2 linked regions of the Sus scrofa genome follow. The protein of the gene in region 1 interacts with the protein of each later gene in a biochemical or structural test. Links are inferred from orthologs where the notes say so. Each region holds a gene or a part of one and is shown on either strand. Other genes may lie near its edges.

Region 1 (4,201 bases):
AGATGCCCTTGAGTAAGAGAAAACAATGTGATGATTCTGATGAAGAGGAGGAGGAGGGAGGGAAATAGAGGAAAAATAGGAAAAAGAAAGGAGAGGAGGGAAAGATGGAGAAAGATGCCAAAATAGGAGATGATGAGAAGTAAGGAGAAAAGGAGGAGGGGAAAGGAAAGGGGGAGAGGAAGAGGAGGAACACAGATAAAGCTTTGTTGAGGTTTTTTCTTTTTCTTTTTTTTTTCTTTCTTTTTTTTTTTTTTTTGCTTTTTAGGGCCACACCCATGGCATATGGAGGTTCCCAGGCTAGGGATCAAATCGGAGCTGTAGCTGCCAGCCTACACCACAGCCACAGCAATGCTGGATCCAAGCTGCGTCTGCCACCTACACCACAGCTCACAGCAACACTGCATCCTTAACCCACTGAGCGAGTCCAGGGATAGAACCCCGACCTCATGGTTCCTAGTCGGGTTCATTGACCACTGAGCCACACGAGAACTCCTTGTTGAGTTTTTAATATATGCCAAGTTCTATACTAAGTTGTATTTGCCTTTTTTCAATTAATCATCCGAGTGAGCCTTTGAACTTTATAATATCATTTCCTCATTTTATAGGAAAGGAAACAAGCTCAGAGTGGTGAAGTAAAATTCTAAGGTCACCATACTTAGGAAGTGACATAGACAGAATTTGAACCCAGGTCTGGCTGTCTAGACTCCATGGTATTACCCACTCATTTGAGGACACTCCTTACATAGATATTGTGCTGATATTAGAGCTACTAAGAATGTGGAGATGAGGAAGAGTTTAAAAGGTCACCTTCATAGCCCCATTCCAAATCCTCAACCAAGTCAATGTTCCGAAAACCTGAATCCTCTATTTAAAATGTTTCTGGTTTTGCATGCTAAATTTAAGAAGGAAAAGATATGCACTAAGTACAATTTTCGATGCATTAAGCATTCAAGAGCACAAGTTTAGTGGAAAGATTAACTTTGAAGCAAGAATATAACTTGTCAGTTTCCAGTGAAAATGCATTTGAATTCCAGTACATACTGGGCTCTGCAATCTTTTTTTTTTTTAATTTTTTTCCCACGTAGCATTTCTCCCAAGACCTAGTCTATCACCCACTTGCTTTCCTTCTATTATTCTTAGACCATGATGCATAAAAAACAAGGTTTACATTAGGTTATAGGGATAAAATAGACTGCTTCGAAAATATTTGTGTTTCAAATAAACATCTGAAGCAAAATTTATAGTCCTTTCTGGGGTTCCGACTGCCCAAGAGCTGCATATGTATTACATTTATGTCCCTTTCTTCCTATGGAGTGTCAGACAGATGCCATCAGGAAACACGACTGGGCACGCACAGCAATGTCTCAAACAAATCACAGCCTCTACAAAGCAACCAATGGCATCCAGTTTTCAGGCCCAGACTGACAGATTTCATGACCTGGAAGAGAGCTCTATTAATTCTATCCCACACATTTTTTGAAGGGGAGGGAAACAGCTGAAACTGCAGGGAGAAAACACACAACACCACACATGTGCACACGCACGTGCACACACACACACACACAGAGTAAGAAGTTGCTTATCTCTAGTTATAAGGGGATAAACTTAAAGAAAGACATAGTCATAAAGCCATAGGACCAAATTCTCCAAAACCCACGAATACTGATACAATTACTTAATTATCACACCATGCATGCCAGTCTTCATTACTAAACACCTATGTGCCTCCTCTGTGTCAAGCACGTTCTTTCCTTTTTTTTTTTTTTATTTTATTTTTTTTATTTTATAGCCACACCTGCAGCATATGAAAGCTGCCAAGGGTCAAATCGGAGCTGCAGCTGCTGGCCTACACCACAGCCACTGCACCACCAGATCCGGGCCACATCTGTAACCTACACTGCATCCTTAACCCAATGAGCAAGGCTAAGGATCAAACATGCATCCTCACAAGACAGCGTCCAGTTCTTAACCCACTGAGCCACTAGAGGAACTCCCATGTGTCAAGCACTTTCTAATTGATGGGAGTTAAAAGGGTCAACAAGAGATCCAGCTCTCAAGGACTATATAGTATGGCTAACAAACACAAAGACGACATTATTAATAAAGTTAGCTACCAACAAAGTGCTAACGAAACAAAACAAACAAAGAGAAACTAATCCCATTTGGGGTTAAGGAAAGGCCTGGCCCTCCAGGAAGTCCTACTAAGCTCAAAACTAAAGAATAGGCAGAAGTCAGTCTAGGAAATAGCAGAGAGCCACAGACGGATTGAGAGTCCAGTGGTTCTCAAAGTCTGGACTCTGAACCACCAGCATCAGCATCATCTGGGAATGTGTTGTAGATGAAACTTGGGCCCTACCACAGACCCAGAGAACCCAAATTTCTGGGAATGAGACTCAGCAATCTCTGTTTTAACAAGCCTTCCAGGTGATGCTGGTGCAGGTAGAGTTTGAGAATCACTGGTATATGCAAAGAGGAACTACAAAGCACAGAATGCCCGGCGGGTGAACAGGGTTAGATGGAGATGGGGCGTGAATGCAGACACAGATGTTGCTTGGGGGGGGGATGAGTAGAAGACATGTCAAGAAGGGCTTTGTATATGCTGAAAAGAACTTTGGATTTTACCAAGAGAATTAGGAAGGACCTTTAAAATACGATACTGTGCATACAAAAAACACCCAATAATGGTGCTATTAAAACAAACAAACATAAGCAATCACAAAGATAGTCCCCCAAATGCCATTCCAGGGACCAAAAAACCTCATTCCTACACAAGAGTAGATATTAGGATAGGAACAGCTTGAGCCCTACCTTTCTTTCTGGAGTCTTTCTTGGCGCTGGTTTTCACAGCTACTTGAAGTTCTGTCTCAGTTGACATCCTACTAAATCCTTAGTCCACTTCACACAGATCCTGGGCCTCGGCCAGGCTCATTGAGGCCTCTTCTCCAAGAAAACGAGTCCTCCCTTCAGAAATGACACCGACAGCTGCACATTTCATTCAGTTCTTCCGAGCGCTGCAAATCAAGGGAAGAGAACGTTCAGAATAACCACTCGGTTAAAGGTATAGATTAGGGAGGGAAAAACATTAAGAGGGTCCATTGCCAAAGAGGATGAGAGGTCTTATTTGCAAAACTCAAACTAGGTGACACAAAGCAGGTCTTTAAAACTCTGGATTTTCAAGAAAAGCAAAACTCCACTCTTGATGTTCCATGTTTCTTACTGTCAAGTGCTAGATGCCACCCAGAAAATACAGCACGGGCATATTTCCTGAGAGGCCCCATGGAGACATTTCCAACAGCGAGGCACCCATCCATCAGCCAAGGCTGACCAGAGCCTTGGCAGCTAAAGCAGATCATAGCGAAGTGACCTGTGGTCGTTCCCTCACTGGCAGGCATCCGAGGGGACATGGCGTTGACATACAATTGGGCTCTGAGGGTAAGGTGACAAATGGGGCTGAGAAACTTCGCAGCAAGCCAATTTTGATGTCAGCTTTTCCCCCAGCTATAAGAGCAGACAAGCATTTAATGCGGGGAGGAAAAGAAAAGAAGCAGGCAGACACACATTTCATTCCTTCTATGATAAATATGCATTGCACACTACTAGGTACTATTAAGTTCAGACACTATGCTGGGAAGAGATAATCATGATAATACCACCACTTCAATTACAGCCAGTATTTACTATACATTGACTATATATGATGCCCTCAGCTCCTGCTTCACATACATTATCTCATTTGATTTCATTTAAATTGAATGAATGTAGTCCCAGTGTCAAGTCAAGGATCTTTTCCCAGGGACGGACTCTCTGATGGTTTACATGTAAGAGTCCGGCTGAAAATAAACATTTCAGGAGTTATCCATTTTTAAAGAATATTAAGATAAAGCTACTGAAAATGGATCTTCAAACCTGTGCAGCCAATTCTTAGTTCATCCCACAGATCCAGGAAACTGTTTAATCTGAAAAGGCTGATGCCAGTTTCAGCTCAAAAAGAATAATGATCAAAACCTCTTAATCGTGCCATTAAAGATAGCTTAACTACGAAGTCTAATACGAGAGCCACTTAAAGCTGGAGTAAGGGAGTTCCCGTTGTGGCTCAGTGGTAACAAACTCAACTAGTACCCATAAGGATGCAAGTTCAATCCCTGGCCTCACTCAGTGGCTAGGTTAAGAATCCAGCATCGCTGTGAGCTGCATTGTAGGT
Region 2 (4,308 bases), about 3.9 Mb from region 1:
TAATCTTATTTTTGAAAGATGTTAATAAATAATCTAAATGGGAGAGGGAGTTGAAATGTTTTTTCTTTTTTCTTTCTTTTTTTTTTGATGGATAGCCACAAAGCATAATCATTCTATTTACAAAAAACCAAAACTCCGAAACCTAAAAAGCGCCCCCCCCAAACCAAATACCCTCTGTCAATATAATTTTTAAATGAGTGAGCTACTGTACCATCGGTCCCATTTGGTTATGTCATCATGTTAGTTCCTCAGCAGTAGCTATTCCATGAATTCCTCATGGGTAGTGCAACCAGTTAAAAAGTGTATAAAACATTATACATATAAAAACTCTCACATCCTTTGGATGTTTGCAGTTCATCATAACTTTGTGGTTACCTTTCCGCAACATAAATTTAAAAAAAAAATCACACACACACACACACACACACACACACACACACACACACACACACAGACTCATGTACAGGGACCCTTCCATCCAGGCATACACCGTCCCGAGGGTAGTGCATGGGACTGATTTCCGGGAGGCACGAAGGGAGTGGTCCCATCCTCAGGGCAGTCCATCATCTTCAAGGCTTAATGCCACTCGCTGGGGGAGACAGAGCAAAGAAGTCATCATTAGACTATGGCGTTCTCAGAAGGTACCAGAGATTCTACTGCTTTACAGGCATTAGCTCACATCCTCTTTACCTCAAAGGACAGGTTTGTCACATTTATTTCACAGATGAGAAAGCTGAGACTCAAGAAGCTTCAACAGCATTTGTCCTGGATCACACCGCAAGCGGGTGAACTTGGTTTGAACCCAGATTTGCGTGAATCCAGAGCTGCAGCTTTTTTCATCATCTTGTTCTGTCTGCCTCTATATAAAGAGGACGGCTGCAGAGATCGCATCTTCCTTCATCCTCCCTTTCAGGATTGTAGGTTTGCTCAACTTCAGTGGGTTAACTTTGGCGAATGTGGAATCCCAGGCCATAGCTACCTGTCTCCAGCACGCGAATCACAATCAGGAAAGTCATCGGCTGGACCCCCTCCCAACTCATTATGCAGAATTGGAAGGCAATGGAGGTCAATGAAGTTCCACCCCGCTTTCCTTCGCCCCCTACTTTCCAGACTGTAGCTACTAGACTTCCCTCTGCCACAAATGGCTCACCACTAGATGGTGATCCCACAACCCCTGAGCCAGTCTATTTGTTTGGACAGTGGACTTAAGGTCTTTCCTATATATCGGAGTTCCCATTGTGGCGTAGTGGAAACGAATTCGACTAGGAACCATGAGGTTGCGGGTTCGATCCCTGGCCTTGCTCGACAGATTAAGGATCCAGCATTGCCCTGAGCTGTGGTGCAGGTCGCAGACCCAGCTCGGATCTGGTGTTGCTGTGACTGTGGTGTAGGATGGCAGCTACAGCTCCTTTTCGATGCCTCGCCTGGGAACCTCCATATGCCACGGGTGCGGCCCTAAGAAGACAAAAGACAAAAAAAAATTCTTTCCTATATTGACATGAAATGTTCTTTATAGCTTTTTTTTTGGGGGGGTGTATTTATGGCATACAGAATTTCCCAGGCCAGAGATCAAACCAGTGCCACTGCAGTAACCAAAGCCACAGCAGTGACAATGCCAGGTCCTTAACCCACTGAGCCACCAGGGAACTCCCACTTTATATCTTCTGATGTTCCCTGATTCCACGTCTTAGATTCAGAGAGTTCTACACAGACAACTTTGAATTTTTTAGTGTTTGAGTTTCCTTCCCTTGCTTCTGAGTATTTTCTTCTCCAGGTTAACACATCTAGCTTTCTCCAGCTGGTCCTAATGCAATCCTGCTCCTCCATTTCCTGGATACCCCCCTTTGGAGGGACCCCACTGTTTCCAGATCTTTCTCATAGCTACATGAATCTGGGCTAAGCACTTCACCTCTCTGAGCCTCGGTTTCATCATCTGTTCAATGGGAATAATAACAGGACCTACCTCATGGGGTTGTTGGGAAGTCAAATGAGATCAGGTATGTAGAGAGCTTAATATGACACCTCCCACATATGGGGTCCAGAGTATTCTACATCAACCTAACTGGCATAAAATAGAACCAGACTAGCACCTTCCATCGCTGGTCATTCTGCAAATAATCAAAAGTAACCCCACTGCCTTTCAAATCATCTTTGGATTCGGGATTTCGCATCAGTGTCATGGCCTTGCTCCACTAGCACAGACACTTGAGACTACCTTCTTAAGAGTTTAGTTACCCTCCCACTCTCCCCAGGACAGATCTCTAGGCCAAAGGCAGGTCCCAGCAGTGACGGTGGAGCTACCTGAGAAGGGGAGAGGGGACAGAAGAGCTTGTTGAGAATACTGACCTCCAAAGCTTCAAGGCTGTATACCCCCAGATACAGCGGAAAGAGCATGGGCTTTTGTGTACACACAGACAGGAATTAGAATCCTGCTTCTACCCCTTCCTAGTTGTGATCCTAGGCACATGATTCAATTTCTCTGAGTCTCAGTGTCCTCATCTGCAAAATGGGGCTAATCATATCAACTGTATAGGTTCCTGTAAAGACTAAACAAGAAAATGTCCATAAAACACAGAGCAGCGTCTGATACGCAGTAGGTTCTTACTAAACACCGGCTTCCTCCCTCTCCTGCTCTATTTCTCTGCAGCTGGCGGAGTCTGTTCCTCAGGCCTTGGATTTATCAGGAATGGCTCCTCACAAGTGTTGTTCCCTTCTCTGGAACAATCACACTGTACCCGTGCAGAGGGCGTTATAGCTCACGTGTGCCATCTCTCTTGAACTTCAGAAATGGAGGCGGCAGAGAGAATAATGGGGGTTATTTTTCCCATTTGGCAAATAAAAGTGAGCAGAGAGAAGGGACTAGATCACAGGGCTGTGGAAGAGTGAACCCAGGAGTCCTCTCCTTATTCCAAGCTCGACATGCCTTCCACTGCCCTCTCGGATCTGGAAAAAATGGGCTCCGCCGGTTTGCTTGGTGGGCCGAGGGTCAGGAGCCTCAAGGCCGACGGCTAACCCTGCTCACTCACCCAACCTCATTCCCCACGTCTCCCCTTGACCAGCAGTGAGCATCAGCGGCAGCGGTCTGCCCTGCCCCATCCTCCGTTGATTCTTCCACATGCCATCTCCTCGGGCAGCAACGAACCCATCCTTCCTCTTTGCCCCGACACCCGGCTCACAATCTGCAGCCTTCCAGAAGCAGAAAGCCTTCTAGGATGGGCTGCAGCTGCCTGGTTCACGCCCTCACTCATCAGCCCCTCGGACTCCGAGTGGCACTGCCCTACCTTGCACTTGACGACAGGCAGCTCGGAAAGAGAGTTCTTCGGGAGTTGGTGCGGCTGTGACCTTGGTTCTCCCGGCAAGACAAAAAGCTCCTTGAGGGCAGGGGCTGGGTCTTCCAGTTCTCTGGTCTCCCCAAGACAGGGCTCTGCCCACAGTGGGTGATCAAAGCTGCTGATTGCCTGACAGGGGGATGGACTGGATGACCTATGAGGTCACACACAGCCCCGACTCTGCTGCACAACCATGACATCTGTTTCAGCCACTCTGTGGTCCTTGCACCCCCAACAGGCCCTGCCCCGTCGTGCCTCTCAGCCTTTGCACGCGCTTCTTTCTGAAATGCCATCTGGCTCCTCCTCCATGTGGAAACTGCTAGCTTTCTCCAGCTGGCCCTAATGTAATCCCAATGTCATTTAATCTTTCAGTCTGTCACCTGTCACCTCCTCTGGATGGCACTCCTGCCTGATTTCCCAAACAGACTTAACAGCTCCCTTACTGATGGGTCCATAGCCTTTGTTCAACCAGTAGTTACTGGGAGCTGGCTCTGTGGTGCCAGGCACCAGGGAAACAGATCAGTCAGACAGTCCTGCCCTCAAGGAGCTCACGGTCTAGTGGGGAGACCAATGAATAAAAAGACAAGTGGCCTACAGTGTGACAGGTGCTGTGACACAGAGAGGTGGGGGCAGAACAAAGAAGCCAGCACCAGCTTTCTAGAAGTAGGGCCTCCTGAGCTTCCACCAGGGCACTTAGCACCCAGCTGTGCAATAGCAAGTGACTCGAACTCCCCCACCAGCTCCTTGGGCACAAGTACATCCCTTCTTTACTTTTGAATGCTTGGTATCTAAGGTGGTACTTGGCACATGCCTGGCATACAGTGTTTACTGAAATGGATCCATGAGAATTGAATGGCCACAGTTACCTTTCTAGGCCAAAGGTTCTGGAAACTTACTCAGCACAAAGACAGACATGTGGCTTCTCTACTCCAGGGAGAACCTCCAGGTACAACTCCCGTGGTCCTGATACCCTTCTACC

The links.
Region 2: the proteins of DAB1 (region 1) and LRP8 form a complex in vitro, tested with the Homo sapiens proteins (2 studies listed by BioGRID). The link is inferred for Sus scrofa from reciprocal best matches to the Homo sapiens genes DAB1 and LRP8.

What each region holds. Positions count from the first base shown.
Region 1 is NC_010448.4:155,083,249-155,087,449, reverse strand, and holds the start of DAB1 (disabled homolog 1), read right to left. Parts: upstream 2,876-4,201; coding exon 2,809-2,875; intron 1-2,808. UniProt on the Homo sapiens protein: Signaling adapter of the reelin-mediated signaling pathway, which regulates the migration and differentiation of postmitotic neurons during brain development.
Region 2 is NC_010448.4:158,978,624-158,982,931, reverse strand, and holds the end of LRP8 (low-density lipoprotein receptor-related protein 8 precursor), read right to left. Parts: intron 3,459-4,308; coding exon 3,282-3,458; coding exon of another isoform or gene 3,069-3,281; exon of another isoform or gene 1,533-3,068; intron 590-1,532; coding exon 551-589; downstream 1-550. UniProt on the Homo sapiens protein: Cell surface receptor for Reelin (RELN) and apolipoprotein E (apoE)-containing ligands. LRP8 participates in transmitting the extracellular Reelin signal to intracellular signaling processes, by binding to DAB1 on its cytoplasmic tail.